2 linked regions of the Rattus norvegicus genome follow. The protein of the gene in region 1 binds, or shares a complex with, the protein of each later gene. Links are inferred from orthologs where the notes say so. Each region holds a gene or a part of one and is shown on either strand. Other genes may lie near its edges. The genes, in order: Topbp1 and Phf8.

Evidence for each region.
Region 2: the proteins of Topbp1 (region 1) and Phf8 are in contact, whole or in part, in a crystal structure (PDB 7CMZ), measured with the Homo sapiens proteins. The link is inferred for Rattus norvegicus from reciprocal best matches to the Homo sapiens genes TOPBP1 and PHF8. Residues at the interface, in NP_008958.2 of Homo sapiens: Gln1298, Cys1299, Arg1314, Asn1315, Glu1316, Leu1319, Arg1369, Ser1406, Arg1407, Gly1410, Phe1411, Arg1413, Leu1414, Arg1465, Thr1466, Glu1467, Ala1470, Asp1471, Gln1475, Asn1483, Tyr1484; in NP_001171825.1 of Homo sapiens: Gly842, Ala843, Cys844, Phe845, Asp847, Ala848, Tyr850, Ile851, Tyr852, Pro853, Ser854, Leu855, Glu856.

Annotation. Positions count from the first base shown.
Region 1 is NC_086026.1:112,790,523-112,794,342, forward strand, and holds part of Topbp1 (DNA topoisomerase 2-binding protein 1), read left to right. Parts: intron 1-457; coding exon 458-628; intron 629-720; coding exon 721-830; intron 831-1,999; coding exon 2,000-2,123; intron 2,124-3,317; coding exon 3,318-3,464; intron 3,465-3,561; coding exon 3,562-3,664; intron 3,665-3,820. UniProt on the Homo sapiens protein: Scaffold protein that acts as a key protein-protein adapter in DNA replication and DNA repair. Composed of multiple BRCT domains, which specifically recognize and bind phosphorylated proteins, bringing proteins together into functional combinations.
Region 2 is NC_086039.1:24,008,834-24,012,653, forward strand, and holds part of Phf8 (histone lysine demethylase PHF8), read left to right. Parts: intron 1-1,081; coding exon 1,082-1,384; intron 1,385-2,127; coding exon 2,128-2,231; intron 2,232-3,820. UniProt on the Homo sapiens protein: Histone lysine demethylase with selectivity for the di- and monomethyl states that plays a key role cell cycle progression, rDNA transcription and brain development.

The sequences.
Region 1 (3,820 bases):
GCTAATAAGGTAAGTACGCTTAATGGTTTTGTTTATCTGTTTTAAAATCTATTTCTTATGTGCATGGTTGTTTTGCCCACATGTATGTCTGTATGTCATGTGCATGCCTGGTGAACAGGAAAACCAGAGAGTGCAGATCCCCTGGAACTAGTGTCACATATAGTTGTGAACCACCGTATGGGAGGGAGCTGGGGATTGACTCCCTGGTCCTCTGGAAGAGCAGCCAGTGCTCTGAACTGCTGAGCCACCTCTTGAGCCCCTTATTGAATGCTTGGTGAAGAATATGGAATTTTTTCTTTATAGTATAAAAATAAAAATTATAGTTCATGCTTTTTATTTTGGAGATAAAGAGTTCAAAGATGTAATCTTTTTTCCTTTCCTCCCTACTCTCTCTCTTTCCCTCCTATGTCCCCCTTTTCCTCTCTTTATTTTTCCTTTTCCTTGTTCTTAAATCCAGGATGCACTTGCAGCCTTAGAAACCCCAAATGCTGCCAGCCAGAAGCGGAAACTGAGCTCACCACTCTCTGAAGTCATCGTCAGAAACCTGACAACTGCTTTGGCAAATAGTTCACGAAACACCGGCTGTCTTTCTGCTAGCCCTCAGCTAAAGGGTGCCCATTTGGAGAAGGTTATTAATACCATTTTCTTATTAAATGAAAGGTGTCCCTAATGCATGTCAAAGAACTGTGACTGATCTCTTTCTTTATTCTCCACGTATAGGAAGAGACTCCGAAACCGCTTGACAAAGTTGTGGTGTGCGTGAGTAAAAGGCTCAGTAAGAAGCAGAGTGAGCTAAATGGGGTTGCAGCCTCACTGGGAGCAGAGTACAGGTAGGTTCACCTTTATGTTTGCCGCCAGCCGCAGCTCGGAGAGAGCCGAAAGTCTCGTGTTCGTTCGTTCGTTCGTTCGTTCGTTCGTTCGTTCGTTCGTTCGTTCGTTCGTTCGTTCATTCATTCATTCATTCATTCATTCATTTATTTATTTTTCTTTTTTTCGGAGCTGGGGACCAAACCCAGGGCCTTATGCTTGCTAGGCAAGCGCTCTAGCACTGAGCTAAATCCCCAACCCCTCATGTTCATTTATAAGGAAGACTTGGCTTTGCTTGCTTGTGTACACGTCTAATAAAACTTCGATTTATTTTATTAAAGCAGTCATTCGTATGCTTTATACAACCAGCACACGCTTGTGAAGCTGTTTTGTGCTACTGTTCTGGAAGCTTGTGATCCATAAGTGACCAGCATAGTTTAAAGAAGTTCCTTCATGGAGTTTATAGTCAGTGCATCTGGGACCGACTGCATTTATTATCTACCGTAGTGATTTCCTGAGAGTAGTACTGACCACTGTAGCAAGTCTTCCTAGATTAAAATGGTCATTAAAGATATTTTAGTTTGCTTTACATTTTTAAAAAAACATATCTTGCCAGGGCATGGTAGTACACTCCACTAATTCCAGTGCTTGGGAGGCAGGAGCAGGTGAGTCTCTGTGAGGTCTACATAGTGCCAGGACAGCCAGGGTTACTTAGTGAGATCCTGTCTCTAGTGTTTTCCTAAGAGACGTAGTCTCAGGCTCTGGTAGAATTCTTGCCTAGCATATCCAGAGGCCTGAGCTCAGTTCTAAACACAGGTACAGTGTGTGGTAGGGACTAACTAGAGTCAATAAACAGGGTGGTGGCCAGTGACTGGACATGGATTTGAATGCCTTTAAGTTTTATTAACTTTTAAATACTTTTTATTGTAATTAAAAAGTGATATACATTTAAGACAAAATGGAAGGACTTTTAAAAATTTAAAGAAGGTAGTAATATTTCAAAAGTATCCCTCTGACATCTTCCTACATGGTGTACCTGACTATGGAGTTGCTAACATTTGTCAGGATACAGAACCTGCTATTTACTAGTCTTGCCTGTTCTCTAGTTCCTTGAGTTTTGTGTGAGAATGTTTTGTTCGGAGTAGGCTGTCGCTTCCCTTAGTTATTCCTCTTGCATATTTGGTTGTTTCAGGTGGAGTTTTGATGAGACAGTTACTCATTACATTTACCAGGGTCGGGCAAATGATAGTAATCGCGAGTATAAATCTGCAAAGGAAAGAGGGGTGCACGTCGTGTCGGAGCATTGGCTGTTAGAGGTGAGCAGTGCCTTCCCTCCTTCCTTCCCTCCTTCGGTGGGTGAAAATGTACAGTGTTTCAGACTACAAGCCAGTTTCATTAAATATAAATACATTTGCTAATCTTAGCTAACTGCGTGACAGGGCACGCCAATAACTGCCCGTTTCATGGCTGGGAAATGAAAGAGGTGGTAGAAAGTGTTCGGGTTCCACTGCTTTCCAGGCACACCCCGAGGGGCCCTGTTGGACAAACACCATGTGGACATAAGGGCCTTTGGGACTCCCAAAATCTGAGCTATATGTAGGTTGTGTTCTGGGCGTTGTTTTGTTTTAGCATCAGAACTTAAGGTTTTTTTTGTATTTAAAGATTTATTTATTACTTATTTATTTTTATGCATATGTGTACTCTGTCTGCTTATACACTCGAGTGCCCAGAAGAGGGCATCAGATCCCATTACAGATGGTTGAGAGCCACCATGTGGTTCTGGCGAATTGAACTCAGGACCTCTGGAAGAGCAGTCAGTGCTCTTAACCATCTCTCTATCCCCAGAACTTAACATTTTTATTGCTTGAATATTTACTAAATTTTAAATGAATACTTTGATTCCTTTTCGTCATTGAAAAATTATCTGAAGAGTAGCTGAGGTAAAAGGCGTGGAAGGCAAAGGCTTTCCCCACTGAGCCCAACTACTTGAGTTGGGTTCCTGGGCCCACAGAGTAGAAGGAGACAACCAACTCCACAACTCCACAGTCCATGATTGCAGCACCCTACCTGCCTCCCACCCCAGTGTAAATAGATAAAGATGTAATTCAAATTATATAAAAACAAAAGATGAAAAAGTGTATAATTTTTGAGGACAGTTGACTTAGCATCCTGATACACTTTAGCTATGCTTTTCTTGGTGCTGTCTAGAATGGCTGATACCTTGCTAAATGCAGAGGCAGGATTAGAGTTTATGCTTTAATACACAGTGCATTTTGGAAGTGACGGCAGTTTGTTACACGTTTATTTAATCTACTGTGTGTGTAGGCGTGTGCAGAGGTCATTTTATTCCTTTTACAGTTTAATATGGTTTCAGCGGTTGAACTCGTGTTACCAAATTAATAGGGCAAGTACATTTACTGGCTAAGTCATTTCCAAGGTCCCAATTGGTTATTTATATGCTAGAGTTTTTCACTGTAAACCTCTTTCTAAAATATCCACTTGTGTTTCAGTGTGCTCAAGAGTATAAGCATCTTCCAGAATCTCTTTACCCACACACTTACAACCCCAAAATGAGCTTGGACATCAGCACAGTGCAGGACGGGCGGCTCTGTGACAGCCGCTTACCCTCGGCACTTTCTGCATCTAAGGACGATGAGGTCGGTGGTGTGCACAGTGAGCCCCTCCTAAGCTGGATGTAGCCGTCTTTATGCAGTGACCATTGTTTGAGAAGTTGTCATTTTTCTCTTTGAATAGCCAGATCACCTGTCTGTAGAAGAAAATGCAACAGAGACTTTGGGCACACACAGCAGAGAGTCCGCTCTGCTGAATGGGAATGGAAGGGACGACTGCAAAGGAGGTGAGAGGCACTTGTTTACCCCTCATGCCCATGCCACGCCCTCCAAAGACAAGGCTTCTCTGAGTGCTTCTGGAGCTGACTCTAGACCAGGCTGGCTTCAAACCCAGAGATCACCGTCCTCTTTCTTCCAAGTGCTGGATTAAAGACCTGCACCAC
Region 2 (3,820 bases), on another chromosome or scaffold:
TGTCTTAGGAGCTGTACAAATCTATTTAGTGCCTGAGAGATATCTGCGTGTTTGTCTTTCCCTCCCTTCCCTATTCCTCTGTGTCTGTATTTCCCTCCCTATTTCTCCTCTCCCTTCTTTCTTTTCTTTCTTTCTTTCATTGTATATGTATGTGTGTATGCACATATACGTATCCTTGCTACAGGGTGGTTTGCTTCTAAAATTTGGACTTCTGGCCTCACTGCTTACAGCATGTTTCACTATCTACACTGTAGTCTACAGTGTTTACATCCTACCCCATTTTCCTCCATTTCACCCACTAATACCTTTTAGGAGTCAAATGACTATTTGATTTCAAGTTCTTAAATAACCCAGTTTTATACAAACAGAACTTTGGGCTGGAGAGAAGAAAACTCATGAGATAGAACATGACTTGTTCATTGACTTTCAAACATTTTAAAGCAATGGAATACTTTATTTTCAAATAACATTTTATATGAAAAAGTTTATATAACAAATCAAAGTATAGCTGCTTTGAATTGGATGAAGGACAGAGACCTAAAGCTCCCCTTGTTCCTCTCATCTGCCTTCCACATACCATCCATCTCCAAGATTTCTCCCATGAAGCTCAAAGAAACCACAGAACATCTTTTTTTCTTGACTTTTGATTTTACAGCTGACCAAACAAGTTCTAGAGCGTGTTCCACTAGAAAACTTTCCCTAGGTCAGAGAGATAGCTGGTAGCAAAATTAAGACTAGAAACTTTCTTCAAAAGTTCTACAGTCCAGAGTTTCAACCACACAGATAAGTACTTGATTATTTTTTATTTTGTGTTAGCTAATCTTGGAGACTTTTCCCTCCAGTTTTGACAGTAATGATTTTCTTTGCTCGTCTTCTCTTTACTTGTCAACCACTGGGTAAAGAAATGCCACCCAATAAATGTATGATGGCTCACTGTACAGAAACCAGGGGTGTGCATATGTGGAACACGTATATACGCCACTTCTATGGCAATACCATTAATGCTGGGAACAGACCTCTGCTCTTAGCATAGAGAGACTTGAGTAAGCTCTAACCCCCTCGTGTACTAATACTCTTGTAGGACATCTTCCAACAGAACGTTGGGAAGACGAGCAATATCTTTGGGCTGCAGAGGATCTTCCCAGCTGGTTCCATCCCCTTAACCAGGCCAGCCCATTCCACTTCAGTATCCATGTCCAAGCTGTCACTGCCCTCCAAAAATGGTTCAAAGAAGAAAGGCCTGAAGCCCAAGGATATCTTCAAGAAGGCAGAACGAAAGGGCAAGCAGAGTTCAGCCTTGGGGCCTGCTGGCCAGTTGAGCTATAATCTCATGGACCCATACAGTCATCAGGCACTGAAGACAGGCCCTTCCCAGAAAGCAAAGGTGGGTGCTGACCCATGGGTTCAGCCCAACCCTTTTGGGTCCCTTGGAAGAGCAGTATTAAAAAAAAAAAAAAACAGGCTATCCTGTTCCATCTCTTAGGGCCCCTGGTGTTTGGCTACCAGTTCCACTCATTTAATAGACATTTATTGAGACATTTTCTGTGTTGGGCACTGTGATAGGTGCTGTGAATGGAACTCAAGAGGCTGAGAGGCTAGAAAGGAAGATAGGCATAAAAACAAATGAGTGATATGAAGTGCAGATGCCAACCCATGATCAAGGGTATATGTGGGGTTTTGAGGCACAGAAAGTGGTTGATGCTATCTAGATAGGGCTCAGGAGCTCTTTGCCAGGTACATGACACTTGAATTGAATCTTGATATACTGAGGTGGGAATGAGATTTGAGAATGTTTTCTGTCAGGTTAGAATCTTGAACAAACAAGTCCTTGTCTCCTCTCTCAGGCTTCACCTTGTCTGAGTATTGTGTTGGCCTATCTGGGTATCTAATAATGGTGCCCTCTTCCCTATTTAGGGAACATGTTTCATGAGCTATGATTTCCCTGAGCCAGGCATATATTCTCAACCTCCTACTCCTATAATTGTTGGAGGTGGGGGTTGGGTACAGGCATATCATAAGGCCTATGTCAGAGGGTTGACAGTTTAGTAGTAAAACCAAAAGAAACTGGCCATTTTGATTTACCCGAGAGCCTCAGACTGGTGACAACTGAGCCTCCTCCTTCTACAGCTCAACATTGGTGGTGCCTGCTTGAATGACTCAGATGATGACTCAGCAGACATGGACGTTGATGGCAGTGAGAACCCCCTGGCCCTGTTGATGGCTAATGGCAGGTAAGATGGGTAAAAGAAGCACAGAGGTAACTAAGATTACCAGTGACAAAATGATCTGGGGGTTGAAACATAGGTGAGAGAAGGGCAGTATTTAGACTAATATCCAAATGTTAATAGATATTTACTTTGTTTAGAAGTTATGGTGGATAGGGGAGAGGTCTGGAGTCTAACTAGTAATTTTGAAAATGATGTTGTATAGGTTCAAGAATTTTAGCAAGTTATTATGATAGAACTACTAGTAGAAATAATGTTAGTAAATGTACAGGTAAAGACCACAGTGTTTTGAGTTGACAGATGGCTCAGCTATTAAAAGCACTTACTGCTTTCACAGAGAACCCCAGTTTTCAGTGCTCACATACAGTGGTTCAAAGTCAGCCATAACTCTAGTTCCAGGGAATCAGATACCCTCTTCATGGGCACTAGGCTCACGTGTGATGCACATACATACATTCAGACCAAATATTCAATTATTTTATATTGTATATAAAATAAAAATAAACCTTTAACAAAAGAAAATAGGGAATTTTAGTTAAGTTTTATTCACTATTATGTATAGAGGAGTGGGGATCATGGGCAATACCAGAGTGCCACAGAATGGGTGTGATGGTTAGAGGACAACTTTTGGGAATTCATTCTTTCTTTCTGATATGGGTTCCAAGAGGCAAACTCACTTAAGCTTTGCATGCCTAGTGCTTTTATGTCATCTGCTAGTAAAAAATATGCATTTAAAGTATGGTTTTATAATTAAATGCATAGGAATTTCAGTTTACAGATTGTATATTGTATACACTATTGTACGAATGTGTAAGGAGAAATGTTCAGTGCATACTGCGTCATTGTAATGATATGTGCTTGGAATTAGTTTAAATGTTTGCCAACACAGGTTAAGTAAATTATAGCATATCTTTTTTTTTCTTTTTTCTTTTTTTTGGAGCTGGGGACCGAACCCAGGGCCTTGCGCTTGCTAGGCAAGCACTCTACCACTGAGCTAAATCCCCAACCCCTATTATAGCATATCTTTAGAAAGGAGTCCAAGTATTAGAGAATCTAAAAGAACAGAGCAGTTTAGTATCTATTAGCACAGAAAGATGTCATTTTTATCCTATTGACATGGGTGTCTCACTATGTCACTCAGGTTGGTCTTAAATTTCTGACCTCAAGTAATGCTCCAGGCTCTCAAATAGTTGCCACTATAGACATTCCGTGTTTCAAGGTATATTTAAAAGGTTTTTTAAATTCATGCCAGGGATTCAATTTAAGGGTTTGTATATACTAGGCAGTCATTTTGCTATTGAACTACATCCCCAGTCATCCCTCACACTTTTTTTTGAGATAAGGTCTACCTATGTACCTCAGGGTGACATTGAATTCACTTATGTAGGCTATATTCATCTTGAAATCATGATCCTCCTGCCTTTGTACCCTGATTGCTGGGATTGTAGGCATGTTCTACTACTATTTCTGGGTTGATATATTTATAAACGTGTGTGTGTGTGTGTGTGTGTGTGTGTGTGTGTGTGTGTGTGTGTGTGCATGTTTTAATAGCATAATTAATTTTTTTTACTTGTTTGGTTGTTCAAGACAGTGTT